Macaca mulatta: one gene and its partners. The protein of the gene in region 6 interacts with the protein of the main gene of each other region in a pairwise test. Links are inferred from orthologs where the notes say so. Each region holds a gene or a part of one and is shown on either strand. Other genes may lie near its edges.

Region 1 (3,778 bases), on a different chromosome or scaffold from region 6:
TGAAATACAGCTCAATATGCTTTTTTTTCTCAGCAGAACTCACTGGGAAATAAAGTCCACTTTTTAATAATAAATTCCAAAATGTTGTTTATTGAGTGAAATGAATTGAGTACATTAAATTCTTTATAGAAGATTTCCCTTCTTTCATTGGTGTCTACTTTTCAGAAATTTGGTTTTATCTTTTTTTGTCAAAATAGGGACAATAGTATGACAATTAGATATAACGTGTTAAAGATAAAATGTGTTTCAAGAGCTAAGGCATGAATTAAATCTGTCTTAATTTAGGATATTAAAACACCTGTGCACACCCACAAACACACACATACACATATACACACAGCACTTTTATTCCAATACCTTAAATTATGTATATTTTATATAGCATGTATCTTCAAAGTGATTTCAACATGGGTTGCTCTTCCTGTATCTTTGTGTAAAATATAATTGCTAGGGAATCAGTAAAATAATTATGAAAGCAATAGAGAATGATACCAATGAATTCTTACGTGCAGAAAAGTTTATTAGAAAGCAGAGATGCTACAAAGCATAAGAAATTCACACTAGGAGAAACACAGAATATAACTGGGCCCCTGGGTCTGAGGGTGCAACATCAGTGACAAAACTGAGCCTGCAGATAACGTCTACCTCACTGAGAAGGAGAATCTCTACCTCAAAGTGATAAAGAAAATAAGGAAATTAGAGGATTGGAATAATTTCTTAGTTAGTGGATTACAAATTAATTTCTATTTGGTGCTACCACTGGAAGAAAAAGAAAGCAAGGGAGGGAGCTTAAAATGAACCAGAATATTCTCAGAGTCAGTGAAATGGTGATGGGCTCATTGGAAACATGAGGTCCATCCTATTGAATGACATCAACCCCACTCCATGTGTCCTAATAGCCAGCATAGTAGAAGGGTCTGCATCTGTGGGCCAGCAGTGAAGGGGGAGGTGAAGCAGGGCAGGGGGCTCAGCAGCAAGAGGAGGCGCAGCACAAGGGGCGGGGGCAGGTGGAGATGACACAGGTTGGGCGATAGCAAGTGGTGTGGCAGGAGACTCGGCCACAGACTGGACGCAGGCAGCAGCAGGGGCGGCAGCAGCTGGATTCACAGCAAGAGGGGCGGCAGCAGCTGGAGATGCAGCAGCTGGGGCGGCAGCAGGTGGGCTGGCAGCACACAGACTGGCAGCACTGGGGCCTGCAGCAGCTGGACACACAGCAGCTGGGGCGGCAGCAGGTGGTCCTGCAGCAGGTGGTCTGACAGCAGCTGGGGCGGCAGCAGGTGGGCTGACAGCACACAGACTGGCAGCACTGGGGCCTGCAGCAGCTGGACACACAGCAGCTGGGGCGGCAGCAGGTGGTCCTGCAGCAGGTGGTCTGACAGCAGCTGGGGTGGCAGCAGCTGGGCTGACAGCACACAGACTGGCAGCACTGGGGCCTGCAGCAGCTGGACACACAGCAGCTGGGGCGGCAGCAGGTGGTCCTGCAGCAGGTGGTCTGACAGCAGCTGGGGCGGCAGCAGCTGGGCTGACAGCACACAGACTGGCAGCACTGGGGCCTGCAGCAGCTGGACACACAGCAGCTGGGGCGACAGCACGTGGTCCTGCAGCAGGTGGTCTGACAGCAGTTTGGGCTGCAGCAGGTCTCCTGGCAGAGGTCTTGGCAGCAGCCCTGGTCAGAGCACACGGAGCCACAACAGGAGTTGACCATGGTGTCAGAACGGGGAGGATCTGGGTGGGTTTCCAAGAGATTGAAGTTCTTGTGTTTGGAAGTCTTCTGGGTCCATAGCCTCCTTTATACCCTGCTGAAGGCCCATTGCCACCACGTCATTATTTCCTTGTTATTATTTACCTCGTGGAAAACTTAATCATGTAATTACATCATTGTGTGTTTCTAGTTAAATACTCCAAAACTAACCCATTTAAATATTCAAAAAATAACCCATTTCCTTTTCCTGCTGTGCTCCTGTGTTTCTATTGGAAACACTTGTCATATTTCTTCCCTAGTGGGGGTCACCTTTGTCCCTGGTCTATGCAGTGTCTTTTACAAACCGCTGGACACATGACTCTGACACTTTATTTCTAAATGTGATTCTCCCTCCTACCTGTAGATAGCTCTCTACAAATCATGGGGGACACTTTTTATAATGTGAATGTATCTTTTGTTGTCAAAGAATGTCCTGGTCAGATGAGATGTCGGAAAGGAGTTAGAAGGAAGGACTCATTCGGGAGAAGGATGTCCCACCTGTAATGAAGATGACTCTGATTCCGTGTATGCTTCTTGAACGGTTGAGGAGATGGTCAGATCCCAAGGAAGTTATAAACTCTGTGTCAGATCTTATTCCACCACTTCAAGTGAAAGTACTTAGCCATGACTCATTGCCTTTAAGGAGTAAAAACACATTTTTGTATATGTCTTACAGTATAGGCATTAGGAGTAGGAAGTTTTATCTTTGATCATCAAAATTGCATGATGAATTTCTATTTGACAAAAGCATTTGTTATATGTAGACAATGTTTATAATTATTAAGCCTTCAATAATGTGCATCCAAGACATTCTGTTGGGTACTCTGGGTATAGAACGGATAAACCCTCATCTTTTTCCTGCAGGTACTTGTATAAGACACATGTATAAGAAACAGAATTTGGCAAAAATGAAAGGAATCACAATTATGTTCATTAAACAACTACAATAAAAATGTATAGTATGTGGATAAGTTCCATACACCCTCAAGGTATGTATATTACTTGTGAAGTTTTGACTACGTACCAGACATTGTGCTAAACATCTTATATTTATTTCATTTTCACTCTTTAATACAACCTTATAAAGTAGTGTACATTCTTATTACTCTTTTAGCAGAGTACGCAAAAGAAGCATTAAAAAGCTAAAACAAACAAACAAACAAACAAAAAACGTGTCGAAGATTAAAGAGAAAGTAAGCCTAATATGTCTTAGGGTAGCCAAGAAAGAGGTAAAGAATAAAATTTGCCAAACTTGCTGAAACTGTTTCATCTTCTTGGAATGTTTCATTTTTTTTTGTTCATTCTGCAAACTCCTACTCATGTGTCAAAACCAGTTAAAATATTTCCTCCTCAATAATTTTTTCCTGATAAGCTACACCATACATTTATCATTATTTCCTCCCTTGTGCTCATAATTTGATACATTCTACTGTATCATAGTCATTTACTTCTGTCATTCCCCATATGCAATGCAAATACCCTGAAGGCATGGCCTATGACATTTCTTTTTGTTACCATGATACTCAGCACAGAGAACACTGGTGGTAAATGTTTATTGAGTGAATGAAGGCTTTTTGATGTCATAGAGGCATGTAAGGTCCTTTAGAAATGGATATATCTTTTGACTTCTGGATAAAAGAGAGGAAAACATTCCAAACAAGGAGATCAGAGTTTAATTTTAGGAAAACTAATTTCTATGGTAAGTAACATGTCCCCTGATAAACAGTATATGCGGAAAGTTGTGGAAGTTGGGATTCCATTCATAGAATAAGACTTAGTTATAGATAACCAGGAATACTGTGTCATCACATTGTGGAAGGGAAAAGAGAGGGTGAGACAGAGAAAGAGGGAGTCAAAATCATCCTTTTATAAGGAACCCACTCTTGTGATAACAACATGAATCCACTCATGAGGGTGGTGTCACCATGACCCAAACATCTGTTGGGCGCCGCCTCCCAGCACCGCCGCATTGAGGATCAAGTGTCCAACACGTGAACTTTGAGGGACACATTCAAACCACTGCATTCCACCCTTGGC
Region 2 (3,426 bases), on a different chromosome or scaffold from region 6:
CACACATTTTTGCCTTAGTGACACCCATTCCATCCAAAAGGTTAAGGATGTGATCTAAAAGATCCCTTAGAAATTCTAAATTGTCTTACATTTTGAACCAGTAGCATCTGTTACATGTATTTAAGGGTAATGTAACAGAATCAGTTCCCCTAAAAAGCATATGATCTAAATGCTTTCAGTGGCTGGGGGTAGTGGCTCACACCTGAAATCTCAACACTTGGGGAGCCTAAGGCCAGAGGATCACTTGAACTGAGAAGTTCAAAACTAGCCTGGGCAACATAGTGAGACCTTGTCTCTACAAAATTAAGAAGTTAGGCATGGTGGTGCACCTGTAGTTCAAGGTAACTTGGGGAGCTGAGGCAGGAGGAATATTTGAGCCCAGGAGTTTTGAGTCTGCAGTGAGCTGTGGTGATGCCACTGCACTCCAGCCTGGACAACAGAGCAAGACCTTGTGTCAAAAATAGAAATAAATGCTCTTGGTTACTGTTCTGGTAGGGAAAGGTAACTACATGAATAAGCTCATTTAAGGCTAACAGGAAGACAAATTTCATAAAGGGGAACAGGGTTATACTCACAGCTTGCTTTATGGCTGGAATTGGTCCTATTCCCATAATGGAAGGCTCCACACCCACCTGGGACCAGGAAACTATTTGTGCTAAAGGTGTAAGCCCACGTTTATCAGCTTCTGACTTCTTCATAAGAACCACAGCTGCAGCACCATCATTTATTCCTGTAAAATATGAGTGACTTGATTTCTACAGTGCTTATTAACTTCAGTTACATATCTGTGTCTTTACCACCTGAAGACATGAGCTAAATGGTTTTACCTGTTGGCTAAGGCATTTACTGTAACTGAACAGACTTTATACACAGAAATCATGTTTGGCAATTAGAGTGACCACAAAACTTTCCAACTAGAGAAAGTGATAGGATTATAGTAGTCAGGGCTGGGCGTGGTGGCTCACGCCTGTTATCCCAGCACTTTGGGAGGTGGAGAAGAATGGATCACCCAAGGTCAGGAGTTTGAGACCAGCCTGGCCAATATGGTGAAACCTGTCTCTACTGAAAATAGAAAAATTAGCCAGCGTGGTGGCGTGCGCCTGTAGTCCCAGCCACTCAGGAGGCTGAGACAGGAGAATTGCTTGATGCTGGGAGGCTGATGTTGCAGTGAGCCAAGATTGCGCAACTGCACTCCAGCCTGGGCGACAGAGCAAGACTCCGTCTCCAAAAAAAAAAAAGAAAAAAAAATTATATATATAAAAAAAAAAAATTACAGCAGTTGGGGAGGAGAGATCTCTGACAGGAAATGGAAGAATAAGCCCGGGCCTCACAAGGAAGTATTGGGAGTTTCTGGTATTGGAAAAATACAAAGGTAGATAAACAAGTTCCCTAATTTACTTCTTCATTTGCAAGTCTAGTTGGGATGTCAAGAAACCAAATTAATTCTTTCAGTATAGGTTAAGTCAATGATCAAATACAGAGAAATGATATGTTTCCTTAAACTGTTTTAAGAATAATTTTGTATATAAATATGAGTTGGGTGTGGTGGCTCATGCCTGTAGTCCCCCAGCTACTTGGGAGGTTAAGGCAGGGGCTCACTTGAGCCCAGCCAGGAGTTTGAGACTGCAAGTGAGCAAAGATCATATTGCTGCACTCCAGCCTGGCTGGCAGAGTGAGTCCCTGTCTCAAAAAAACAGTACTTTTGTATATAAATAAAGAGAAAAATATTCACTTGGTAGACCTTATAGAACGTAGTATTCCCCCAGATGAAGTATTTCCTTCAGAAAATCTAACCTGAAGCATTGGCTGGGGTGACGGTTCCCGTTCCATCGGTAAGAAAGTAAGGCTTTAGCTTGGACATGTCTTCTATGTTGCTCCCGTGGCGAGGAAACTCATCTGTTTTAACTTCAATAACACCTAAACAAAGGAAAACCAATTACTCAAGATTAGTCCAGGGACAGAAGTGTGCTGGGAATGGTGGGTTTCTCTGACATGAAACATGAGGATTCATATTTAGCAGAAAAGTTTTAATATATAACCACTTTGATTACAACAGGAGGAAAGTACACACAAGAATTATTGTACATGAAAACAATGTATGAGTATGTCCTTATAAGACACCTGTGTTTTTCAAATCCATAGGCCTTCCTGAGGAAAGTAGCTACCAGGGACCTGTTTGTGCCAAATTCTGCTATGGTTTGGGTCATAGTACTTGACTGGTTACAAGTGAGTGGATCAGGGAGTCTCAAAGTCAATCCTGCACTGCTGGCTGGCCATAAGAGATGTCAGTTATCAATAAGGGAGCTTGATGGAAGCACTCTGTATTAGAAAATAGCAAGTGACCCCAAAAGATCCACCCTTTAGAAATGGGAAAGGGAGATCACACAGAAGCAGCGAGAAGTAATGGGTGTCCACTTCTGAGGAGGTTGAGCCTATACAGGAAACAGGTCAGCTGGTGCCTCCTAACAACCATGAGCCAGTGCTCCAGTGTCTCATGAAACCTGCTGTATGTGCACAGCAGTCATGGACACTCTGGAACCAAGGGTGCCTGAGCGCTGACACAGTTCCCATGTTACCGTGTCCTGTAAACCCAGCATACCCCCTCCCTACCTTCATGTATCCAGGACATATCTTTGCAACCTGAAAAATATAACTAAGATATAATTTCTAAAGATTCCTACGTATTACTCTTTTAGATGTTACTCTTACCTATAAATAGGTTGATGTTTAATTAAACCATTATAATATACTCACCTTTTCTAGATGACACCAAAACTGGTACAATCTCTTTGTCAAAATGGCCAGCTTTCTGTGCATTCTCTGTCCTATTCTGAGACAGAACTGCAACCTTGTCCTGATCTTCTCTACTCACTTGCCATTTTTTGGCTACATTTTCAGCTGGGAAAGGAGAAAAAGAGCAAAAAACCAACATTTTCATGAACTGGCATTTGATAGATCAAGTTGCCCATATTTGACCAAGCGCTGACTGACCACACATGCTAGCAGGCTCATGGTGGCCTGTGCAATGCTCTGTGTGGGGTGGCCCTGCCTGCCACCGACAGTGGGTCTAGAAGTGTTGCAGAGACTCTCAGGAGTCATACTTCTCTCCTTCCCTTTCTATATAATTGTAAACTTAACAGACATTTCCTTCACCTAGAGTCACCAGGTATATTTCCCCTCCATTTGCTTTAACATTTTCTTTCTGAACCATTTGAGAGAAAGTTGGAGATACAATGCCTTTTTACTCTTAAATTTTAATTTCAGTGTATACTTCCCCAAAACAAGGCCACTTTTTTACATAAGCACAGTTATAAAACTCAGGAAATTGGGCGAAGTGTGGTGGGTCACACCTGTAATCCCAGCACTTTGGGAGGCTGAGGCAGTAGGATCACTTGAGCCCAGGAGTTTGAGACCAGCCTGGGCACG
Region 3 (4,623 bases), on a different chromosome or scaffold from region 6:
GTGGGGGCTTCTGTGCTAAAGAGTATCTGCCAGTTAATCCTTAGCAAAGCAAGATGGATACAGAATAAACAAATTGCCACTGTGACGTATGCAAGTTTGGCTTTCTCCTGGGATATTAATAGCATATGGCCTTGGACCCAACTCAGCATTTCTGGTCATTAGCAGCAATTTAGTGACGAGGAACCTGCGCCTCTTTAGTGAGATCATTCGTCATAATGGATTCCCTGTGGATCTGTGTTCTTTTGTTGATTCAGACTTTAAAAACGTAAGGCCATATCAAAATAATATTGGCTAGATTATTAGGTCTGTGGGCACCAGTGTGTGACTTTTGCTTTGAAGCTGTGCTTACCTCTGTGAGCAGTTAGGGATATTATTTGTTCCTTTGGAAGACATTAATTGGGTATTTCTTAAGTGCTGATTTGGGGAGTGGTAGAAATGGTGAGTTGAAAAAGGTGAAATCCTGTTCTGCTGGCTCTTATAATCAAGCAGACTATGGAGTGATGTGGCATTTGTTTAAAATCACACTTTACTGTTTATTAGATTTCCTTATGTGTTATTTAATCATGTCAACTGCAGATGTGAGATAATTTAGCTGCTGAACCGTAGAGGTAGACCTGGACCCAAATCTGCTGATTCAGTGCTCTGGGCTGTCTCCACTTCATCACCCTCATTGGCAAATAGTCGATTGGGCAGGTTGTTCAAAGCATGCCCTCAGCTTCTAGACCCTCCCATTCATGCCATGTCCAGATGACGTCTCCCTGTACACAATGCTTCCTCTCAGATGCATTTGGATGGAATTATGCCTGGCCTGAATGGGAACCTTGTCTGCTTTCTAGGTTTCTTTCAGACACAGGGTAATGTTTCTAGAGTCCATTTACTAGGAGCAGCATGATGGGACTGGGGATGTCCCTTTGAAAATTAAAAGTTAAGTTTCTTTTTAAGTGCCAGGATTGAGTGGATTTGGGATTCCTGTATGTGACCTTAGTTCCCAAACTGAGATTTTTGTCTTACTCCTGTGTTCCTTTGCTTCCTTCCTATCTGCAGAGGCTGCCTGACCCAGGAGAAGATTGTGGCTGGCTATGCTAGTCGCTTCATCGTGATCGCTGATTTCAGGTAGTTTCTGGTGTCTGAACTGCCAACTAAGGAGGTAGATTGGAGCCCTAGGCCTCATCCTCATTTTTGTGAAGGGGGAAATGGAGAGCTGCAGGGACTCTCTGACTTTCTGAGACTGATTGCTAGGACTTAGTACAGTGTCTGGGAGACTTTATGTTCTGCTTCTAGGCTGAAGGTAGATGTTGCTAATCACACCACTGTTATCTGCAGCCAGGATCTCTAGCATTATTTCACGTGTTCAGTGGAACGGGGAAACAGCTTTTCACCCTGTTAGCAGATCGTGCTCTCATGTGTCATGTCACTCACTGGATCCTCACAGGGAGCCTCAGGGTGTGCCCTGCCCACGGGCAGTGACTCAGCATGCCCTGCTTCTTCTCAGGTCAGGGTTTGCCGCAGGTGACTGGTGTCATTGATAGTCTTTGGCCAGGCTCTCAGATGAGCATCTGAGAGGAATCTGGTCAAAAGCACTGTGCTGAGCATGTTAATTTCAAATATGTGCATGTGTGTATTTGCTTGTGAAATGTAGCCACAGGATGAGCATAAATATTAAACACCTACATACCTACAAGCCAGCAATATCAGATTTTAACATTTTTGTCATATGTATTTCAAATAGCTCTTTTCCTATATAGTGAAACAGCTAATTCATTTGAAGCCCTGTGTATACTGCCTCTGATCACTTTCCTTGCCTTCCTACCACCTAATTAACCCTATTCCTGAATTTGGTGTTTGCCTGTACTATTGAACTTATTTACTTTTATTTCACTTTTTGACTCCTCCTTTCCAGGAAAGATTCGAAGAATCTCGGGGATCAGTGGCACAAGGGAATCCCCATCGAAGTCATCCCAATGGCCTATGTCCCAGTGAGCCGAGCTGTGAGCCAGAAGTTTGGGGGCGTGGTTGAACTTCGAATGGCTGTCAACAAGGCTGTGAGTGGCCTGATTGGGCCGGGAGTGTCCTGGGTGCACTCAGGTTTTCAGTGTGGTGTGCTCCCTTCTGTTCCAGTTAGGTTCTCTGTGCCTCCACCAGGCAATTGGCTTTTATTTATTTTTAATTGATGTGTTTGTTTATTTTCAGAGAGTTGGCCCTGTTAGTTTCTGCATTCAAACTCTTGTAGACAAGACCACACTTAATACAGTGCATCTCCTTTGTACAGATGGGGGAATGATTCTTTCTCTGTGCCTCAGGTTCTGACATCCCACAGGTGATCTGACCTTTGTGCCTGAGGCCTGGAACACCCTGATTGGCAGCTGTGAAACACTGGCTTTGGGAACCCGTTTGAAGCAGAAAGTTTTTTAGGTTCCACGGTGTAACTTCTTTTCTCCCTCTTCTTTCCTCTCATTCTGTGGTTAAATGTGACAAGAAGTAGAATTTCCTGGGTTGTGTGAACTCTTCCCCAGGAACACACTCCAGATGGTCCAGATTTTTCATGTTTCTCTTTAGCTTCTAAAGTGGATTGCACAGAACTTTTCCCTCTTTTTGTACTTAAATAAGCAAGCAAAGAGCAATCCAGAAGCTAACCCCAGTTACATGTGTAACTACATAAACACTTTGGAGGATAGCGAAAAGATCTGTCACCCTACCCTGATACATTTTTATTTTAATATACTTTGTCCCCGGTGTTTCTGTGACTTTTAAAAAAACCGTAGTTCTATTCCTAGTGGTTGTACGGTGCTCTGACTGACGTTCATATTGTTGGCGCGTGAAAGAAATGCAGCACAAAATGGAGAAGTCGTTCGACCTTGACCCTGTCAGAGTTCTTATTTGAAAGCCACGTTGCTGCTAGTGTTCTTATTGTCTTTTGGATTCTGTTTCTTGCCCTTTTTCTTATTGGCCCAGTAGTAACTTAAGGAAGCAGATAAGAACAATAAATTTTGGACTAAAGGAAGTAAGAACAATGAACCAGAAATCAGATAGGAATGTGGTGATAATTGTGACATGTTCACATAGTCATAGTGGGAGCTCATGTGAGTAAAAATAGCTTGATACATTTGTTAAGAGGCTTGTATTCTCTCTCTACAAAGACTACAATCTAAGTCTGATTTCAAAGCCCCTGCTTATTACCACTTCACAGCACACCTTCTAAGAAAGCATAAAGTGGGAGCTGGTTAAAATGCATACATGTCTTTTGTTGTGCCCTCTACTTTCCTGTCCTTCTCTGCCTACCTGTATCTGCATCCTTGGTCATTGTGGAAAATTATCTTCTAGGGTCCTGTGGTGACAGATAATGGGAATTTTATCTTGGACTGGAAGTTTGACCGGGTACACAAATGGAGTGAAGTGAACACAGCTATCAAAATGATCCCAGGTAACATGAGTGGCATTCAACAGGCATGTACACCCCCATGCCCTTCATAACTGGCCCCTACATCTGGCTAGGGAAAGCACAATGGACATGGGCTTTGTAAGGCTTGGTTGGAAAGAAGAATTCCCTTTATACTATGTTTGGGTTTTTAACTTCACCTCCTTTGCCGTATTCCCTTCCCCTAACAATTGTTGCTTACCTAGCACCTTTGTTGCTTGTGCATTTCACAGCCTGTTTGAGTTGGGATAATCCTGAAGCTGACGGAAGTTCAGAGGGGACTTGCCTTGAAATAAGGTTATCATCTCTGGGTAGAACCTTTCCTTCCAGGAGCTGGACTGCAGCCTCTTTTTGTGGACTCTCTTAAGCATGGGGGAAAATAACTCAGTTAATCCATATTCATTGGATGCATGCCGAAGGCAAGATGTTGTGCTGTGTGTTACAGGGGATACTTCAATTTGGAGGACTTGTAATCTGTCCTTAAGGAGAATTGATGTAAACCTGTGGAAATCTGTGTGTATGTGTAGAAGCCATGCCTACAAATAAGATAGAATGTGCTAAATTCTACTAGAGGAATACCAAGAGTCTAGAGTGCACAAAAAGGTTCTTTTTGGCAGAATGCGAGGATGTTTTATGGTGTAGAGGTGGTTTTTCACCCGTGCCTTGGCATAGCATAAGTTAGACATGGTGCTAAGTGTCTAAAAATGTTTCCTTTGATTCCTGCTTTGATGAGGTAGTTATAGAGGAGGACACTGGCTGAGGAAGGTTAAGCTGTTTGCCCAAAGACAGCACCAGGATGGGCACCCTAAGTTGTCTGCCACTAGACCCCAAATGTTTAATGCTTACTTGCTGAAGCACCAGGTGAGGAGAGTCTGTGTGAAATGAACATTTAGAGCCTTAGGGAGCCTCTAATGCAGCTGTGCCAGGGAATGATGGAATAAGAGCCAGGATGGGGCCCTGTGTGAAGGATAGGTGGGCAGTGTAGAGATGAGTTATGAGGCTGGAGCCCTAGTCCAGGCTAGAGGAGGTATCAAGGACTCGTACAAGGGGATTAAAAGGAAGAGGCAGTCTTGAGAGGTATCAGCTTCTTAGGATGTTGCGAGACTAAGAGGCTAACGGAATATTCCCTAACATGGAATATTCTTGGGCTGAAACTGACTGACAGGACCTTTCAGACCAGTTTAGTGGAGCAGACTATTCTGGGTAAG
Region 4 (5,167 bases), on a different chromosome or scaffold from region 6:
AAGGCTCATGGAGGCTCAGGGAGGCTCAGGGAGGCAGGCAGGACCCCTCACAGCAGGGCAGGGAGGGACCCCAGGCAGAGGAGACCAGGTTTTCCTGCTGAAGCTTCCTTGGGCCACTGAACAGGGGGAGACGGGAGGGCAGGAGGGGCCAGCACCAGGAGTGGATGGGGCAGGGCAGGGTGGCGCCCCAGCCAGGTAGGAGATGGCACTGCAGGACTCTGTGACTGTTGTGATGGTGACCGGGCTGGGCCCCGCCTCCCACCCTCCCATCCCCAGTTTCTGGCCGTGGCTCTCCCACACACCCTGTGGTCCTGTTCTCCTGTGGCCACCCTCCACCTTCCCCCTCCACACGCTGGGCACGCCGCCCTGGCAGGCCCCTGCACCCTGGGTGGGCAGGTGTGTGGGCTGGGCCTGCTGGGGGAGGCTGGAACTGACGGATTCTGAGATGCACTCCCATCCTGGGGGCTGGGCCTGGGGTCCCACGGGGTCCCATCTCCGGCGAGCTCAGCCCATCTGCCACTCCGAGGCCCAGGTGAGCTGCTCATCCCACCCTGGGGGCTCTGCCCAGGCTGTGAAATGGACAGAGCCTGAGCGGCAGACACAGGAAGTGCAGCCAGGACTGCAGAAGAGGGAAGAAGCCTTCCTGAGGACTTCCTGGAAGAGGTGACGGAAGTGAGGGAAGGGATTCTGGGCAGGCAGAGGCACAGAGGCCCTCTGAGCTTGGCTGGCAGGCAAAGGCGTCCTGGGAGGAGAGTGCCCATTTCCAAGGGAAGGGAGGGCCAGTGTCCCGCGCAGGTCAGGATGCCCAAGAGGCCGTGGGGTACCACTCCCGGGAGGCGAGCCCAGGCCTGCCTGACATCCAGCCACCCCAGAGCCAGCCACCCAGCCAGGGCAGGCTTCAGGGAAGCCCCCTGCCCACAGCCTGCCATGTGCCTGCTATGCCCATGCCCCCTCCCCACCACTGCTTCCCCCTGAGTAACATCACCCCATGCAGGTCTCAAGGACCCTCTCAGCTCAAGGTCAAAAGTGTGTCAGACCCTTAGGTCCAGCCAGGTCAAGGTGCAGGAAGGTTCAGGGAGGCCACTGAGGCCTGGGAAAGAGGGGCAGGGCTGGGTGCAAACAAAGCCCCATCACCTCAGAGCCATGGGGGTCCCCCGCCTTTGGTCTGCCTGACATCACAGGCCTCCCCTGGCTGGATGCAGCAAAAAGCTGAGGGCTGCAGCTGTCCCTGGGTGGCGGCCAAGGTCCAACCCAATGTCCCTTGGCCCTGAGAAGACGCCGCCCGCCCTGAGCCTGCATCCGTGTCCACCACAGCCACGGCCCACACCAGCTCAGCTCTGGTTACCAGAGCCCCTCAGCAGAGCTGTGCCAGTGGGCTGCACGCTGAGGCTGCGAGGGCTGCCCTGAGCGCTTCACTGGAAGTGAGGGAGAGAGTGCTGCCACCAGGGCCACAGAGGGCACCTGCCTGGGCTGCCCTGTACCTGCTGCCTGAGGCCCAGCCCTGTGGGGACTGTGCGGCCACAAGCAGGCATCCCATGTGGCCATCAGGGAAAAGGGCAGTGACCCCATGTCCCCACCTGCTGTACCTCGACTGATCCCAGCTGCCCCCCGCCAGCACCACCAGCTTAGCTTTGCCTTGGGGAGAGCCAACAGGACTCCCGCCACAGGGAAAGTGAGGGGCACAGGGCCTCTCTCAGGCTGGGGGCTAAGAGGGCTTCACAAGGATGGTGAGGGGCAGCATCCTGGATGTGATGGGGGGGACAGGATGCCCCCTGAGGGAGGCAGGCAAGCAGAGGGGCACGGCGACCTGGACCACCTGACCTGATGAGAGGCTGGGGGCGCTGGACTGACTGTGGCCAGGAAGGCAGTCTTTGCCTAAATGGCATGCAGGAGCTCTGGCAGAGGGGAGATCTGCTGGGGGCAGGCAGGCATGCAAGCAAAAGGTGGGGCCCAAACCGGACAGGGCTGGGCTTAGAGGAAGACAGGCTGGGACTCAGTGATCCACTGGATGTGGGAAGAGGATGGCAGTAGCTCCTTCACCCAACACATATGCCTCATGCCTGTAATCCCCATGCTTTCAGAGGCCAAGAGTTCGAGGCCAGGAGTTCAAGACCAGCTTGGGCAGCAGTGAGACCTCGTCTCTACAAAAAAATTTAAAAATCAGCCGGGTGTGGTGGTGTGCACCTGTGGTCCCAGCTACCGGGGCAGGGGCTGAGGCAGGAGGATCGCTTGAGCCCAGGAGGTTGAGGCTACAGTGAGCTGTGATCATGCCACTGCACTCCAGCCTGGGAAACAGAGCAAGACCCTGTCTCAAAAACAAAACAAAACAAAATATTCCTTGTGAACCTACCATGTGCCTGGTGCCAAGTGAGGCAACACAGCCCCTCGTGTCGGGGCCTGGCATGGGAGAATGTGACACCCTAGGAGGTGGGGAAGGCTGAGCTTAGGCAGATGGAGACTCCAAGGAGGTGCCCTCCCTGGAAAAAACCCCAAGGAGGAAGCCCACTTTGAGACTCGCTCAAATTCTCACTCAGCTCCTTCTCCTACCTCCCTGCTTCCACCCTCTGCACTCCTTGCTCCTTCCTCCTCGGCCCAGCTATCTCCTCCTTCAAGTTGCAGCATGAAAGCCACCATTTCCAGGAAGCCTTCCCTGATCCCCAGGGCAACCAAGGAGTCCCACTGCCAAAAGGGTCGGATTCCGGGGACGGGAAGGATAGGGCCCAGCAATGCTTCCTTGAAAGGATGAGTGGTGTCCCCTCAGATGTCCCTCCTGCGGCCCCTCCCCGGCCTGGGGGCTCACTGGGTCGGGGAACCCGCGATCCGGCGGGCGGAGAAGGGGCCGACCCGGAGCTCGGCGGGAGTCGGGGGCGGGGCTCCGGGGCGGGGCCCGCAGCGCAGAAGGCGGTGGGCGGGACGCGGGTCGTGGGCTGGGCCGCCGGCGGGGACACGGGGGACGCGGAGGGCGCGGGGACGCGGGCTCACCTGGCGGTAATGCAGCGTGAGCGGCCGCAGGTAGGGTGAGGCGGCGCAGCGGCCCACGGACGCTCCCTCGATGCGGTCCATGGCGGCGCCAGGACAGGCGGGGGTCCCGACCGCAGTGGGGACCAACCCGGGGCAGCGCCCTGGCAGGACGGGAGCTTTCGGGCGCGCGCGTGACGGCGGCTCTGAGCATGCTCCGTGGGTGCGCGGGGCGGGGCGGGGCGGGGCGGGGCGGCCGAGGTGGGCGGGGCTCGCAGGTGCCACCTGTCGGGTGCTGCGCGCCTGGGGGCGCCGGTCTCCGCGGTGCCAGGGGAGCCGTGCAGGCACGTGGGCGTCGCGCAGAGGAAGGACTGGCTGGGTCGACCCCGGCCGCCGGGCGGGGCCAGCCGGACCGGGGTACAGTGCTTGGGTGGGACTAGGGACCTCTTGGCTGGGGGAGGGAGGGCCTGGAGGTGGTTGGAGCCAAGAGCCTGCCCGTTTGGGGTGCCTCTGGGGATGAACCACAACCCTGAGATTAAGTTACTCCAGGGGTCCGCGGGCGGGGCCGGGGGCGGAGCAGCGCCCCAGGGAGGGAGGGACTGGGCCCAGGAAGAGAGTCACGGGAGGCCAGAGAGAGGGCCCTGGAAAGAAGCCAGGGGAGAGGAGAGTGGGGCGCGGGAGGGGCCAAAGCTTGGGCCAAGGGGGCTTCCCCTCGAGGTTGCTGGTGTCCAGGGTGGCTGGGAGCTGCCACGCTGTCTCTGCAGCTGTCCCTCCTCCACTCAAAAGCCAGCTGCCCTTCCCTCCTCCTGCAAGTTCTACCTTGATGACGGTCCTTCCTGGGTGTGGAAGGGTCCCAGGCAGCTGCAGTTCTTCCTTGGGCATGGATTCCAAGGACCCCCTCCAAATGCCACCACGGCCTCCACAGGGGCTGGAAACAATATTGAGGCAAGGGAGCTAAGGCCCACACTGGCCCTGAACCCTGACCTGCACCTGCTTTCTGAACTATGGCCCAGGGGAACAGGCTCAGGGTGGACTGGCCATGTGGGCTTGAAATAGACTCCCAGATCCTTGTTCACTATTGCTGTGTAACGAAACACTCCAAAGCTTAATGCCTTAAAGTGCCCCTTTATTGCCTGGCCTATGGATCGCCCAGCTCAGCCAGGCAGCCCTGCCTTGGGGTCTCTCTGCAGTTGTAATCAGGTGGCAGCTGGGGCTGGAGTCGTCTGAAGGCCAAACGGGGTGGACCGTCCAGGATGGCCTCTTCACCCCTGGCCCTCAGTTGGGTGGCTGGAACAGCCAGGGCCAGCTGGCCTCCCTTGTGGCTGGTGTGGGCTTCCCCGAAGCCTGGTGGTCTCAGGGTAGTCGGATTCTCCGGTAGCAGCTGGCTCCTTCCAGAGCACGTTCACTAGGCCGGGCCAAGCTGCCAGGCTTTGTGTGACCTGGCCTCAGATGTCATATGGTGTCATTCCTACTGCATCCTGTGGGTCAGAAAGTCCTGGGCTACCCGCAGATTCCAGGGAAGGGGTATCACCAGGTGGGAACGCTGGGGAACACGGTCATGAAGCCAGCATCCAAGTCCAGCTGTCACCGCCCCAGTAGCTCTACAGGGGCCTGTGTCTCCCCGCTTTAGCCATTCCTCCTGGTGTCCCAGAAGCCAGAGTTTACCAACCAGAGCACCCAGCCCAGAAGCTGGCCCCACCCCACCCCACAGCCAGGCAGGCCTCTTCCTCTGGTGCACGAGGGGCCCAGGGTAAGTGCGCATCTTCGCATGTCCCATGCAGTCCCCTTCCTGCCTGTGATTGTGTGGAAAATGAGGATGAGTCTCAGCTTCCAGCAGCAGCAGCCCTGGGGCAGGCAGAGGCAACAGCAGCCCCATCAAGGAGCCCCTGGGAGAGCCAGCAGCTCTAGAGCACCGTGCTCCTCAGACTCACTCAGGTCGAGGTGCCCAGCAGTGCAGATTGCAGAGCTGAGGTGCATGAAAATATCAGCAAGGTGCCTGCTGTGGGACGCAGCCTGGTGGCTCCTCAAAAAGTTAAGCGTAGAATTATCCTGTGGTCCAGCAACTGTCTTCCTGGGTGCCTACCCAAAGGAGTTGAAAACAGACACTCAGACAGATGCTTGTTCACAACAGCCAAAGGGAAGAACAACACAAGCATCCATTGCCAGGTGAATGGATCCACAAAATGCAGTGTAGACGTGTAAGGTAACA
Region 5 (4,623 bases), on a different chromosome or scaffold from region 6:
TCCTCTGGAGAGCTTCTGCCTGAAGGGGTGGAAAAGAGAAGCAAGGGCTTTGGATAAGAGGGAGTAGGGGGTCGAGGTAAGGCTGAGAAGGAAGAGGCACCTGGATTCAAGGATTCAGGTCCAGGGTGGCAAATGAGCTTTGTCTAATGGGCCAGTTGTCATGGTGGTGGCTGCCTGGGTGCTGAGCTGTAAAGTACTCAAACTCAGGAGGAAAGAGGGATATGACTGATTAGTGATGCTTCTCATGGGCGAGAAATGGACTGGAAACACAAAGCTCGGTGTTTACCAGCCCTGGTTTAGGGCATGCACAGAGCTGGGAGGGTTTTCTGGAAGAATCGGTGCGAGTAGCATCCCAAATAGGATGATGGTATCAACAGGGGTGGCTTAAGGAATACGGGATGTATTAACAGAACAGCAAGTTTGAAGGCAAGGAATGACTATTCAACCCAAATTCTTACAATGTTAAGGGGTAATGGGGTTTTCTTGTGTCAGAATCTCAATGGAACCCAGCATCCTGCCCCTTACCTGTTCCTCCTCATCCTGGGTTTTAGTCTGAAGCAGCTGGAGGAGGCGGGAAGCTGTCAGCCCTCCATTAGAATCTACATACAGGATGTTTTGCTGCAGGCCATGGGCCACATTTGCTGCCACACATAGACATACCTGGGGGTGGGGGCATTGGATGAACTTGACACTTCAGAGAGGGTCCAGAATGGGAGCTCCCCACCAAACCTTGCCCAGATTCCAGCAACACAAATGCGCTGAGTCCAAGCCCCATTCCTCATCACCCATCTTCTCTCTGTTGGGCTCTGAACTCATCAGTATGCTGAAGCTCCCCCAGGGATCCTGGGCTATGCACCTACCACCCTCACCCTCAAATCCTCCTGACTGCGGGCCTCACGTGTACCTGAGTTTTGCCGCTACCTGGGCCTCCTACAATTTCAGTCACTTCTCCAGTATAAAGACCAGCATCAAGCAGTTTGTCCAGGCTGATGGCAAAAAAGAAGAAAATCAACACAAGAGGTTAGTAGGAAGAGAGGGGAAAAGGTACCAAGAAGAAAAGTAAGACATTCCTTTCTTTTTTTTTTCTTTTTTTTTTTTTTTTTTTTTGAGACGGAGTCTCGCGCTGCGTCACCCAGGCTGGAGTGCAGTGGCGCGATCTCGGCTCACTGCAAGCTCCGCCTCCCAGGTTCACGCCATTCTCCTGCCTCAGCCTCCGAGTAGCTGGGACTACAGGCGCCCGCCACCACGCCCGGCTAGTTTTTTGTATTTTTAGTAGAGACGGGGTTTCACCATGTTAGCCAGGATGGTCTTGATCTCCTGACCTCGTGATCCACCCGCCTCGGCCTCCCAAAGTGCTGGGATTACAGGCTTGAGCCACCGCGCCCGGCCAAGACATTCCTTTCAAGCACTGGTTCTGTCTTTGAACATCACTGGCCAGGAGGCTTCTCCTGATGTTTTCTTCTGGGAAAGAGGGAATGCCCCAATGTTCCTTCTCTGGTCTCTCTTCATCCCTCCATTCTTAAAGATCAGCTTTCCAGAGAGGCCTCTTCACCCCATCAGAAGGTCCTCCTTTCATTTTTTTTCATCTCAGGCCCTGTGGGTTTCCTTTTATTTATTATTATTTTTTTTGAAATGGAGTCTCTCTCTGTTGTCCAGGCTGGAGTGCTGGAGAGCAGTGGCATGATCTCTACTCACTGCAACCTCCACCTCCCAGGCTCAAGTGATTCTCCTGCCTCAGCCTCCCAAGTAGCTGGGATTACAGACGCCCGCCACTATCCCTGACTAATTTTTTTTTTTTTTTTTTTTTTTTTGAGACAGAGTCTGGCTTAGTCGCCCAGGCTGGAGTGCAGTGGCGCGATCTCGGCTCACTGCAAGCTCCGCCTCCCGGGTTCACGCCATTCTCCTGCCTCAGCCTCCCGAGTAGCTGGGACTACAGGCGCCCGCCGCCTCGCCCGGCTAATTTTTTGCATTTTTAATAGAGACGGGGTTTCACAGTGTTAGCCAGGATGGTCTCGATCTCCTGACCTTGTGATCCGCCCGCCTCGGCCTCCCAAAGTGCTGGGATTACAGGCGTGAGCCACCGCGCCCGGCCTCCTGACTAATTTTTTTAATTAGAGATGGGGTTTCACCATGTTGGCCAGGCTGGTCTCAAACTCCTGACCTCAAGTGATCCACCTGCCTCGGCCTCCCACAGTGCTACAATTACAGGCGTGAGCCACCAGGCCCAGCCGTTTGTGGGTTTCCTTGATAGCATTTCCCAAAATTTGTGTTTTTGTTTTGTTTTGTTTTTAAAAAAACTTTGATGGTGGCATGCACCTGTAGTCCTAGCTACTTGAGACGCAGAGGCAGGAGAATCGCTTGAACCCAGGAGGCGGAGGTTGCAGTGAGCCAAGATCGCGCCACTGCACTCCAGCCTGTTGACAGAGCAAGACTCCGTCTCAAAAAACAAAACAAAACCAAACAACAAAAAAAAAACAACTTTGAGATAATTATAGATTCCCAGGAAGTTGCAAAAAGTCCATGAACCTTTCACCTGGTTTCCCTTAATAATAACAATTGTACTACAAAATGTATTGTACTAGTCAGGGGCCTATAGTCCCAGTTACTTGGGAAGCTAAGGTGAGAGGATCACTTGAGTCCAGGAGTTCAAGTCTAGACCAGGCAACATAGCAAGACCCTTTTCTCCTTAAAAAAAGAAAGAAAGTACTATAGTATATCACAAGTAGCAAACTGATGTTGGTACTATCCACAGAGCTTATTCAGATTTCACCAATGTTCCTAGCATTCAAGCACGTACGATGTGTCTAGTTCTGTGCCATTTTATCACATATGTAGATTTACACAACCGCTATAATCAAGATACAGAACATTTCCATCACTATAAGTCATCCTCCTGCTACTCTTTTATAGCTACATTCCTCCCAGTCACCCCAATCCCCAACCCCTGACAACCACTAATCTCTATTATGTTATTTCAAGAACAAAGTTATGTACATAGAATTATACACTATGTAACCTTTGTGATTGGCTTTTTTTTTCCTTTTTCTTTTTTTTTTTTTTTTTTTTTGAGACGGAGTTTCGGAGTTTTACTCTGTTGCCCAGGCTGGAGTGCAGTGGTGCAATCTCAGCTCACTGCAACCTCCACCTCCCAGGTTCAAGCAATTCTCCTCTCTCAGCCTCCCGAGTACCTGGGATTACAGGTGCCCACCAAAACACCTGGCTAATTTTTGTATTTTTTAGTAGAGACGGGGTTTCGCCATGTTAGGCAGACTGGTCTTGAACCCCTGACCTCAAGTGATCTGCCCAATACAACCTCCCAAAGTGCTGGGATTACAGACATGAGCCACTGTGCCCGGCCCTGCAATTGGCTTTTGTCACTCAGCATCATTCCCTTGAGATCCATCCCAGTTGTTGCATATATGGATAGTTCATTCCTTTTTATTGCTAAAAAGTATTCCATGGTATGGATGTACCACACTTTATTTAACCATTCATCCACTGAAGGCCATTTGGTTGTTTCCACTTTGGGGCTATTGTGAATAAAACTGCTATAAAGCATTTTTTACAGGTTTTTGTATAAACCCAAGTTTTCACATCGTTGGGATAAATGCCCAAGAATACAATTGCTGGGTGGTATGGTAAAGGCATTATTAATTTTATAAGAAACTACCAAACTATTTTCCAGAGTGACTATGCCATTTTACATTTCCAGTAGCAATGTATATATGAGTAGTCCAGTGTTTCCACATCCTCATCATTTGGTATTATCACTATTTTTTTATTTTAGTCTTTCTGATAGGTATGTAATAATAGCTCATTGTGTTTTTAATTTGTATTTCCCTAATAGTTAATAGTGTTGATTTTTTTTTTTTTTTTTGAGACGGAGCGTTGCCTAGGATGGAGTGCAATGGCATGATCTCGGCTCACCGCAACCTCCACCTCCCGGGTTCAAGCAATTCTCCTGCCTCAGCCTCCCGAGTAGCTGGGATTACAGGCATACGCCACCATATCCAGCTAATTTTGTATTTTTAATAGAGACGAGGTTTCTCCATATTGGTCAGGCTGGTCTCGAACTCCCAACCTCAGGTGATCAACCCACCTTGGCCCCCCAAAGTGCTGGGATTACAGGCATAAGCCACTGCACCTGGCATTTTTTTTTTTTTTTTTTTGAGATAGGGTCTCACGTCTCACTGTGTCACCCAGGCTAGAATTCAGTGGCATGATCACAGCTCACTGCAACCTTGACCTCCCAGGCTGAGGTGATCCTCCCACATCAGCTCCCCCAAGTAGCTGGGACTACAGGCATGTGCCACCACACCCAGCCAACTTTTGTATTTTTTTGGTAGAGACAGGGTTTTTGCCACGTTGCCCAGGCCAGTTTTGAACTCCTGGGCTCAAGCAATCCAACCACCTCAGCCTCTCAAAGTGCTGGGACTACAGGTGTGAGGCAGCCCTTGCCCATTTTCTAATTGAATTGTTTGATTTTTTACTGTTGGGTTTTAGGAATTCTTTCTCCATTCTAGATACAAGTCCTTTGTTGAATACATGGCTTGCAACTATTATTCTCATTCTGTACTTCTCTTTTCATTCTGTTTTGTGCAGCAAAAGTTTTTAATTTTGATT
Region 6 (4,623 bases):
GAAGCAGAAGTGTGGAGTCTTGAGAGCATGTGTTGAGGCCCACGCCTCCCTGATGTGGGGGCGTCCTCTCCAGAGAGCTGCTGTGGGCGCCTGTGAAGGACTCACTCAGAGGGTGCAACTTAAAAAGGTGACTCACTTTCAGTTTTGGGTTCTCTCCTCACTGCCGTTTTCCAAACATGCATCTCATTATCAGCTGAGTGTTCTTCAAGACTCTATCTCGGCCTTCCTTGAGGTGTGTGTGGGTCACACAGGCTGCATGGGCTAAGGGTGAATGAAATTCCCAGTCTGCTTCAGGCAGCTGAGGGGTACCTGTATCATCTTTCTCCTGAAGACCTCACAGATTTCCGACAGTCTCCTCCTAGCCCTTCCCCTTCCCCACCTCCCTTCTGGCCTAACCCTCGGATCCATCTTCTCCCTATTTTTAGAAGCACTCTCAGCCCCAAAACAGTCCTGGATGAGGGAATGAGGAGGAGTGGCTGGGTTTTGACTTTCTCCCCAGAGGATGCCTCCAATACTGTCTTCTCTCTCCCCACTCTTACTCCTGGGGTGGGCAGAATAATTATTCCCCAAAGATGTCCATCTCCTAATCTTCAGAACCTCTGAGTATATCACTTCATATGGCAAAAGGGACTTTGCAGATGTAATTAAGAATCTTTTTTTTTTCTTTTTTTTTTGAGATGGAGTCTTGCTCTGTTGCCCAGGCTGGAGTGCAGTGGTGCAATCTTGGCTTACGGCAGCCTCTGCCTCCCGGGTTCAAGTGATTCTCATGCCTCAGCCTCCCAAGTAGCTGGGATTGTAGGCTTAGGCCACCATGCCTAGCTAATTTTTATATTTTTAGTAGAGACAGGGTTTCACTATGTTAGCCAAATTGGTCTCAAACTCCTGATCTCAAGTGATCTGCCCGCCTCCACCTCCCAAAGTGCTGGGATTACAGGTGTGAGCCTCCATGCCCCACATAAATGAAGAATCTTGAGATGAAGGAGCCATCTTGGATTATCCAGGTTGGCCCAAGGTAATCACATGAGTTCTTATAGGAGGGAGGCAGGAGGCTCAGAGTCACAGAAGGAGATGTGAGGATGGAAGCAGAAGCCAGAGAGAGCCTGGAAGATGCTATGCGGCTGGCTCTGAAGATGGAAGAAGGGGCCATGAGCCAAGGAAGATAGGCAGCACTAGAAGCTGGAAGAGGCAAGGAAAGGGATTCTGCCCTGAAGCCAACAGGAATGCCACCCTGCTGACACCTCAATGTTAGTCCACCGAGACATATGTTAGACTTCTGACCCTCAAAACTGTATGATAACAAATTTGTTTTTTCTTTTTTTGAGACAGTCTCTCTTTGTCACTTAGGCTGGAGTGCAGTGGCACATCACAGCTCACTTCAACCTCAACTCCCAGGCTCAAGCAATCCTCCCACCTTAGCCTCCTGAATCACTAAAACTGCAGGCACACACCACCAGGTCTAATTTTTAAATTTTTTATAGAGATGGGGTCTTGCTATGTTTTCCAGGCTGGTCTCAAGATCCTGGACTCAAGTGATCCTCCTGCCTCAGCCTCTCAAAGTGCTAGGATTACAGGTGTGAGCCAGTGCACCCAGTAATTTGGTTTGTTTTAAGTCACTAAGTTTGTGATTTGTTACAGCAGCAACAAGAAATGAACACAGCTCCCCAGCACAAATGTACAGCTGCAACATACCAGGAACACGGGACCATGGTGAGGGTGGAGGGAGCTCTACTGGGCTCTTTCTCCTCCTTGTTCCCCTCATCCCCCTGCCCAGTGTGGCCCCACTCTTGAACATGGCTCTGTGCCAACTCCTGTTGGCATCTACCTCGCCTTTGACTCCAGACCTACTTCTTTCCCACCAACGTCTCTCATACCTAGGCAAAACTTTCAGCAAAGGTCACAAATAGACTACCCTACCTATTCCTCCTTTAACCACATCTACTTCTGAGGAATGAGGGAGGCAGGGCATCCTAGTTTAAACACCAGCAATAACAGCTGCAACCCAAAAACCTGAGGTAGAAGCATCTGGCTCAATATCTTGGGGAGAAAAATGAATTCACTGACATAATGAGTATGGCAAACACATGCTAAGCATTACACCCAGGCCATTGCTTTTGATGCAAACTTCCATGTTAGAGAATACATGCAAGTCCCAAAAGACAAAGACTCAGATTCATGACCTAAGGTATGTAACCTTTAAAAAAAAAAATACCTGCACCTGCCTCCTGCCCTTGTCAAGACAGGAACCAGGATAAACACCAGCTTCCAAATTTCCTGTTACAAAATAATTGTGGTATGATCGTTCACCCTTTATTAAGCACTTTAAATGTTCTCATACCCAGGGACATGACAATGTAAGTGGACAAAATAAGAGGCAGCCAGATGGAACAGGTGATGTTAGCCATCAGCAGCGGCAATCACACCAGAATTCTGCCACCAGTGTGGGTGCGGTGTGTGGGTGGGTGTGTGCGTGCATGCACAACTTAGCAACTTGGCCACAAAGTTAGCAGAACAAATTGCTTGGAGGACAAAAATTTCCTAAATTTCTCCTTTTAAAACTTAATTGAGAACACCTCACACCTTCTCAAAGGACAGTTGTGCCTTGTCAATTCCAATATAGAGGAAATTCTAATAATCAAGGGTCAAACTGGGGCACCTTTTTTTCCGTAAGTGAAAAAGCAAGCAGCGCCTATCAGGAAATACTTCTGGGACCCATGAGCCTCAGAGAAAGCTGCTCATATGCCCTCTCTGGCATATTTCACATTTCACAACATACACACATGAGATGAGCTGGTCGCAAGAAGACAAATACCATATGATGTCATTGACATGAAGCACTTAGAGCATATTCATGGAGACAAAAAGTGGAATGGTGGCTGCCAGGGACTGGGGGAAGGTGGAATGGGGAGTTTGTGTTTAATGAATATGGAGTTTCCATTATGGAAGATGAAAAATTTCTAGAGATGGATGGTGGTGATAGTTGCACAATACATGAAAGTACTTAATACCACTGAACTGTATACTCATAGTGGTTAAAAATGGTAAACTTTATGTTACATTTTATTACAATTAAAAAAAAAATCCCATAAACACACACACACAACACAACTCCACCAAATGCTATTTCCTCACACTGAACCATGACCATAAACACCTATGTGTTTTTGTATTTTGAATGGATCATTTTGTTGGTTGCAACCCCTCAGGAGACTGGGGGGTGGAGGGGTCCAGCTGTCCCCCTTGGGGGCGGGGCTTCCCAGCTCACTGGTGAGGGACCTACCTGGTTTGAAAGTGATGCTCGAGGTCGCAGCGCTGCAATACCTGGGCGCAGTGCTCCCTAAATGGGCAGGTCACCAGCAGCTTGTTGAGGAGTTTGTTGACCAGGATGCTGGACTTCTTGCAGTGCTGCAGAACCAGAGACTTGCGGTCCATGGGGCAGAAGTCCTTCTCCACCAGGAAGTTGGTGAGGCAGAGGGTGCAGTAGGTGTGTCCACATGGAGTGTCCAGGGGGTCCAGCAAAGCCTGCAGGCAGATGTGGCAGATGAGGTCATCATCCACATCCTCCGGGTAGCTGTAGAAGTGGTTTTCCTCCAGGGAGTGGGCTTGGCCGCACACGGCACACAGGGCTTCAGGGTCATTGGCAGACTCTGGCTGGTTCATGGTCGATTGGAGAGCAGTATAACAGGAAACTCAGTCACACAGTATTTCCTCAGGAGCAAGTCGAGATCTAGGAGCCATCCACACACCTAAAAGAGAACAAGAAGGCTCACTTTTGCCTCCCAGCACATGAAAGACTTATGCTTATGGTAGACATGAGACAGTGCTGCCAGTGCATGGCGAATTGAGCTACGATTCAGAAAGCCATGGTTTAATGTCCACTCTGGAGTAACTGACAGGACCTTGGGCAAGCCCCACGGCCTCCTCGTGCCTCTGTTTTTCCACACATGCCAGTAGGAATAATGTTCACCTTTAACATCCTCACATTGGTGTGGTAAGAATCATTTGGAAAGTATCTGGGAAATGCCTAAAGTAACCCCAAAAAATGTAATTTGTTAAGAAAATTAAATAGATCAGTGATGTATAAAATTCTTGTCAGATCAAGACAAGAAAAAAACAAAACAAAACAGTTAATACTGTGATGGCTCTTATCTTTCTTCCCCATCTTTCTCCCAAACTCAGAAAATGTAGGAGATCAGAGCTTTCAACTAAGTCATCTGAGAGGAAATAGTGTCGTTGAGCCTTTCATATTTTCACTATGATAAATGCACTGTTGTCTCCTGTACGCATTTTACTCAGTTGGTCATTAGTGGCTAAGTGGGCTCTGGACACATTGTCTGGGTTCAAATCCCACCACTACGGGCCAGTGATTTCAGACTCTGTTTTCACATCTGTAAAATGGGGATAATCACAGGCTACTTCATAGAACTCTTGTGGGGATGAAATGAGATATGATACATAAAGCTCTTAGATTTGCATTTACTACATACTAGGCACTCAATAATTCTTACATGTATTTGTTACTGAATTCATTGTCTCTGGTCTAGCTCTGTTAGCTCAGAAACTGAAAGCTAGAGCTCCTATAAGGTGCCTTTAGGCTTTGTTCTAATAGGATTCTTTTATTCCATT
Region 7 (4,037 bases), on a different chromosome or scaffold from region 6:
TACCACATGTTCTCACTTATAAGTGGGAGCTAAATGATGGGAACACATGGACACATATAGGGGAACAATAGACACTGGGGCCTTTTAGAAAGTGGAAGGTGGGAGGAAGGAGAGGGTCAGGAAAAATAACTAATAGGTACCAGGCTTAATACCTGGGTGATAAAATAATCTGTACAACAAACCCCCATGACACGAGTTTACCTATATAACAAACCTGCACATATACTTCTGTACTTAAAATAAAGGTTAAAAAAAAGAAGCCTCAAGGAATCTTATAAAAAACATTTGTGCTACCTCAAGGCTTTAAGTCACTGAAATTCACTGTGAACTGGATTAGGATCTTACGGGAGGGGCGGAAGTAAAGCTTTTCAGAAATCCAAACCTGACTCAGCCAGTGTAGTAGAAACAAAACAAAAGTAATATACAAAGCGTTAAATTGAAAGTCATGGTTTCAAATAAGGAAAGATCCTAGCTACTCCAGATTTTCTCTAAGAAGTTCTTTTCTGGATTCCTTTTAGTGCCTGAATGAAAGATCCTTTGATGCTTTTGTCATCCTCATTTTTCTCCTAATGTACCGTCCTGAAAACAATCTATTTCAACAAATTTGAGAGGGCTTTAAAAATAAAAAAAAAAGTGTAATGAAAAATATACCATTCAAAAGAGCAGCAACATTCAAAATGTACCTAAAAAGAACATTAACAAAAACATACACTCTATCAAAGCAAATATAAAAGTTTACTGATAGACTCAGATGGATGCCTAAGTAGAGCAATACAATATATTTATACGTGGTGAACATAATATTGTACAGATGTCAATTATCTTTATTTACAGATTTAGTACCTTATTTGATGGCCTCAAGTCAGCAGAGAAGTGGCCCTGTACCTATAAAAAGTCACGATAAGACACTGAGTGAGGACTGAGGGCGTTACCTACCCAAGAAGAGGGACTCCCACAGACCCCGCCCCTACTGTCAATCTTGGGAGGCCCCAGGCATGGCTGCTAGGCTCACGCTCCACTTTACTTCCTACTCTGAACTCAGGGAAATGATCCTTTTTCTGAGGCTGACTGATTCAGCTTAGCAAAGAGAGAAGTCCCAGTGCCTGCAAAGTCAGTGAAAGAAATATATGTATTTCTTTAAGAACTGCCCCTCCCCCAGAACACAGAACCATTTGCTGTTATGCTGGGAGAGCAAGGTGGGCGTGGCCGGAAGTGTTTCTCTTGACCTATATTCCACGTCATCAAGCTGTTACGGGCGAAGCCTTGGTCTGAAAGATGTGGCCAGAGAAATAAATTTCAGGATCCGGCAGGTGTCAAAGTGAGTATCGTTTGTTATGACCTTCGAGACACACTTTTCCCAGAACAGAGGCGGCCTCATAGAGACCCATCCTTCTCTGCTCTGTCCTGCTCCCACCGTCAACTGTGTGTGTCCCAAAGCGCAGCTGTTAGGCCTAATACCCTTACTTCCTGTTGGGAATCTGTGGGATGGGAAGCCATGGTCTAAAGCGAGGCAGCCTCAAGTCAACAGAGGGAGGACTCAAAGGACTAAAGTAAAATTAATATCCTGAGTTAGAACTGATGTGATAAACCCCCACAGAACAGTCCCAGCCTGCTCCTGCCTTATGGGTTCCTAAAGCAATACCCTCAAGAGAACCAGCAGAGGTGGCCATTCTTAGACCAAGGTAGAATCTCCCTACCAAGGCTGTGAACACTATCTTATCCTCCGTCTTCTAGGGTGACCTCTTCATCAACCCAACTGCCTGCACTATTGTCTGTAGTCCCTGACAAGAGTAATTATGCCTCGAGGTCAGAAAAGTAAGCTCCGTGCCCGTGAGAAACGCCACCAGGCTCGTTGTGAGAATCAGGATCTGGGTGCTACTCAGGCCCCTGTGGCAGAAGGAGAGTCGTCCTCCTCTGCCAATCTTCTCTTTGGTGATAGACCCCAGAATTTGCCTGCTGCTGAGACACTTAGCATCCCTGAGGCGCTTCAGGGAGCCCCATCCACCACCAATACTATTGCACCTGTTTCATGCACCAGTTCAAATGAAGGTGCCAGCAACCAAGACGAGAAAAGTCTAGGTTCCTCAAGGGAAGCTGAGGGCTGGCAAGAAGATCCCTTAAGCAAGAAAGTAGTGTCGCTGGTGCATTTCTTGCTTCAGAAGTATGAAAAGAAAGAGCCAATTACAAAGGGAGATATGATAAAGTTTGTTATCAGAAAGGATAAGGGTCACTTCAATGAGATCCTCAAGAGAGCCTCTGAGCACATAGAGCTGGCATTTGGTGTTGATTTGAAGGAAGTGGATCCCATCAGGCACTACTATGCCTTTTTCAGCAAACTAGACCTCACCTATGATGAAACAACCAGTGATGAAGAAAAAATTCCCAAGACTGGCCTCCTGATGATTGCACTGGGTGTGATCTTCATGAATGGCAACCGTGCCCCAGAAGAGGCAGTTTGGGAAATTATGAATGTGATGGGTGTATATGCTGATAGGAAGCACTTCCTCTATGGGGATCCCAGGAAGGTCATGACCAAAGATTTGGTGCAGCTAAAGTACCTGGAGTACCAGCAAGTGCCCGACAGTGATCCTCCACGCTATGAATTCCTGTGGGGTCCAAGAGCTCACGCTGAAACTAGCAAGATGAAAGTCCTGGAGTTTGTAGCCAAGATGCATGATACCGTCCCTAGTGCCTTCCCATCCTGCTATGAAGAAGCTTTGAGGGATGAGGAACAGAGAGCCCAAGCCAGAGTTGCAGCCAGGGCTCATACTGCTGCCATGGCAAATGCACGTTCCAGAACCACGTCTAGCAGCTTCTCCCATGCTAAGTGAAATCTGAGGTTGGTTCTTCACTTTTTGGTCGAAAAGGTCTGTCAACATTCTAATAGTGGAGGGCCATGGTGGGGCTGGAAGAAATAAGCGTATATCATCTTTGCGTTCCTATTGTATATTGATAAGTAGAGTTTTACTTTTCCTTCTTTTTTTTTTTCCCTAGGTTACATTTCAAATGTTGAAGTCTGAAGAAGATTGTTTTCTTTGTGGAAGAAAAAAGCAATCAACATTCTAAGTAGTGAATGGCCAGGGTGGGTCTGGAGGGAACACAGCATATATCATGTTGTGTTAATATTCTATAGTAACTTGGAGTTGTATCTTTTTCTTTCTTTTTTTTTTTTTGGTGTTATATTTCAAATGTTGTTTCTTTTAATAGAAGTTTTAGATTACTTCAGAATCGAAATTTATTAATGACTTTGGTTACACATGTATTGCTATTTAAGAGTAGGAGTTTTATTGTTCTGTAAAACAAATTGGGAAACCTTCTTTCATATTTAATGAGCCAAAACAAGGAAACACAGTATTGGAATAGGTATTTCCTTAAAAAATGTGAAATGATTTAGCAGTAAAATTTTGGAGATCAAAACATAGGTGAGAAAAAGTAATACTTTTTAGTTCTTGGTTTTCTTTATCCATTTTATTCTGTTATATAAAGATAAAAGAGTCATACCTGGATTGGCTTAGCTTACTGAAGAAGGTAGGAAAAAATAAAATGTTTATGAACTAGCATCTATGCTTACTGCCTCATTCATTCCTCCAATATTAATAAAACATCTGATCTTTGAAAGTAATTTTGTTAGAAATGGGAAAACTAGGATACAAAACACCCAGCCCTGCTTAGACTTTTACAATTAATGAACAATAATAATGCATGGAAGATGGTGAAATACTTCTAAGACCTAAAGTACAAGTAAGAAGAGGGAGTAAGGAGGTAAGGAGTTAGAGAGGGGTTTGGGAAAAGTGCTGGAGTATATCTGGCTGAAAATGGTAAGGTGCAAATTCTCTGAAGAAACGCCCTTTTAGACTTTTGGAAACTATGAGTCTCTCAGTGGGATATACTTTTAATTTAAGCTGGGTGGTGAGCTACATGAAGCTGTGGGACTGGAGAGCAGAGGCCAGGCACTCAGATGGTGTGTCTCATTGTTGAAGGACAAAACCCTGGAGTGGAAACCTCCACTTAAGAGTTACCTTGGTGACATCAATAAA

The links.
Region 1: the proteins of LNX1 (region 6) and uncharacterized protein LOC703872 interact in a two-hybrid assay, tested with the Homo sapiens proteins (2 studies listed by BioGRID and IntAct). The link is inferred for Macaca mulatta from reciprocal best matches to the Homo sapiens genes LNX1 and KRTAP4-12.
Region 2: the proteins of LNX1 (region 6) and ACAT2 interact in binary tests that used the Homo sapiens proteins (3 or more experiments, as listed by UniProt). The two-hybrid records come from large-scale screens. The link is inferred for Macaca mulatta from reciprocal best matches to the Homo sapiens genes LNX1 and ACAT2.
Region 3: the proteins of LNX1 (region 6) and RPIA interact in binary tests that used the Homo sapiens proteins (3 or more experiments, as listed by UniProt). The link is inferred for Macaca mulatta from reciprocal best matches to the Homo sapiens genes LNX1 and RPIA.
Region 4: the proteins of LNX1 (region 6) and NUDT14 interact in binary tests that used the Homo sapiens proteins (3 or more experiments, as listed by UniProt). The two-hybrid records come from large-scale screens. The link is inferred for Macaca mulatta from reciprocal best matches to the Homo sapiens genes LNX1 and NUDT14.
Region 5: the proteins of LNX1 (region 6) and RAD51D interact in binary tests that used the Homo sapiens proteins (3 or more experiments, as listed by UniProt). The two-hybrid records come from large-scale screens. The link is inferred for Macaca mulatta from reciprocal best matches to the Homo sapiens genes LNX1 and RAD51D.
Region 7: the proteins of LNX1 (region 6) and MAGEB18 interact in binary tests that used the Homo sapiens proteins (3 or more experiments, as listed by UniProt). The link is inferred for Macaca mulatta from reciprocal best matches to the Homo sapiens genes LNX1 and MAGEB18.

Annotation. Positions count from the first base shown.
Region 1 is NC_133421.1:65,465,604-65,469,381, reverse strand, and holds uncharacterized protein LOC703872, read right to left. Parts: upstream 1,884-3,778; 5' UTR 1,706-1,883; coding exon 968-1,705; 3' UTR 896-967; downstream 1-895. UniProt on the Homo sapiens protein: In the hair cortex, hair keratin intermediate filaments are embedded in an interfilamentous matrix, consisting of hair keratin-associated proteins (KRTAP), which are essential for the formation of a rigid and resistant hair shaft through their extensive disulfide bond cross-linking with abundant cysteine residues of hair keratins.
Region 2 is NC_133409.1:12,235,491-12,238,916, forward strand, and holds part of ACAT2 (acetyl-CoA acetyltransferase, cytosolic), read right to left. Parts: intron 2,899-3,426; coding exon 2,755-2,898; exon of another isoform or gene 2,752-2,754; intron 1,918-2,751; coding exon 1,795-1,917; exon of another isoform or gene 1,794-1,794; intron 731-1,793; coding exon 576-730; exon of another isoform or gene 574-575; intron 1-573. UniProt on the Homo sapiens protein: Involved in the biosynthetic pathway of cholesterol.
Region 3 is NC_133418.1:25,383,809-25,388,431, reverse strand, and holds part of RPIA (ribose-5-phosphate isomerase), read left to right. Parts: intron 1-1,044; coding exon 1,045-1,113; intron 1,114-1,900; coding exon 1,901-2,042; exon of another isoform or gene 2,043-2,412; intron 2,413-3,321; coding exon 3,322-3,421; intron 3,422-4,623. UniProt on the Homo sapiens protein: Catalyzes the reversible conversion of ribose-5-phosphate to ribulose 5-phosphate and participates in the first step of the non-oxidative branch of the pentose phosphate pathway.
Region 4 is NC_133412.1:178,605,991-178,611,157, forward strand, and holds the start of NUDT14 (uridine diphosphate glucose pyrophosphatase NUDT14), read right to left. Parts: upstream 3,167-5,167; 5' UTR 3,064-3,166; coding exon 2,983-3,063; intron 1-2,982. UniProt on the Homo sapiens protein: Hydrolyzes UDP-glucose to glucose 1-phosphate and UMP and ADP-ribose to ribose 5-phosphate and AMP. The physiological substrate is probably UDP-glucose. Poor activity on other substrates such as ADP-glucose, CDP-glucose, GDP-glucose and GDP-mannose.
Region 5 is NC_133421.1:44,628,149-44,632,771, forward strand, and holds part of RAD51D (DNA repair protein RAD51 homolog 4), read right to left. Parts: intron 987-4,623; coding exon 905-986; intron 661-904; coding exon 526-660; intron 20-525; coding exon 1-19. UniProt on the Homo sapiens protein: Involved in the homologous recombination repair (HRR) pathway of double-stranded DNA breaks arising during DNA replication or induced by DNA-damaging agents. Bind to single-stranded DNA (ssDNA) and has DNA-dependent ATPase activity.
Region 6 is NC_133410.1:79,936,432-79,941,054, reverse strand, and holds part of LNX1 (E3 ubiquitin-protein ligase LNX), read right to left. Parts: intron 3,744-4,623; 5' UTR 3,658-3,743; coding exon 3,278-3,657; intron 1-3,277.
Region 7 is NC_133426.1:25,968,922-25,972,958, forward strand, and holds MAGEB18 (melanoma-associated antigen B18), read left to right. Parts: upstream 1-1,746; 5' UTR 1,747-1,796; coding exon 1,797-2,831; 3' UTR 2,832-2,866; downstream 2,867-4,037. UniProt on the Homo sapiens protein: May enhance ubiquitin ligase activity of RING-type zinc finger-containing E3 ubiquitin-protein ligases. Proposed to act through recruitment and/or stabilization of the Ubl-conjugating enzyme (E2) at the E3:substrate complex.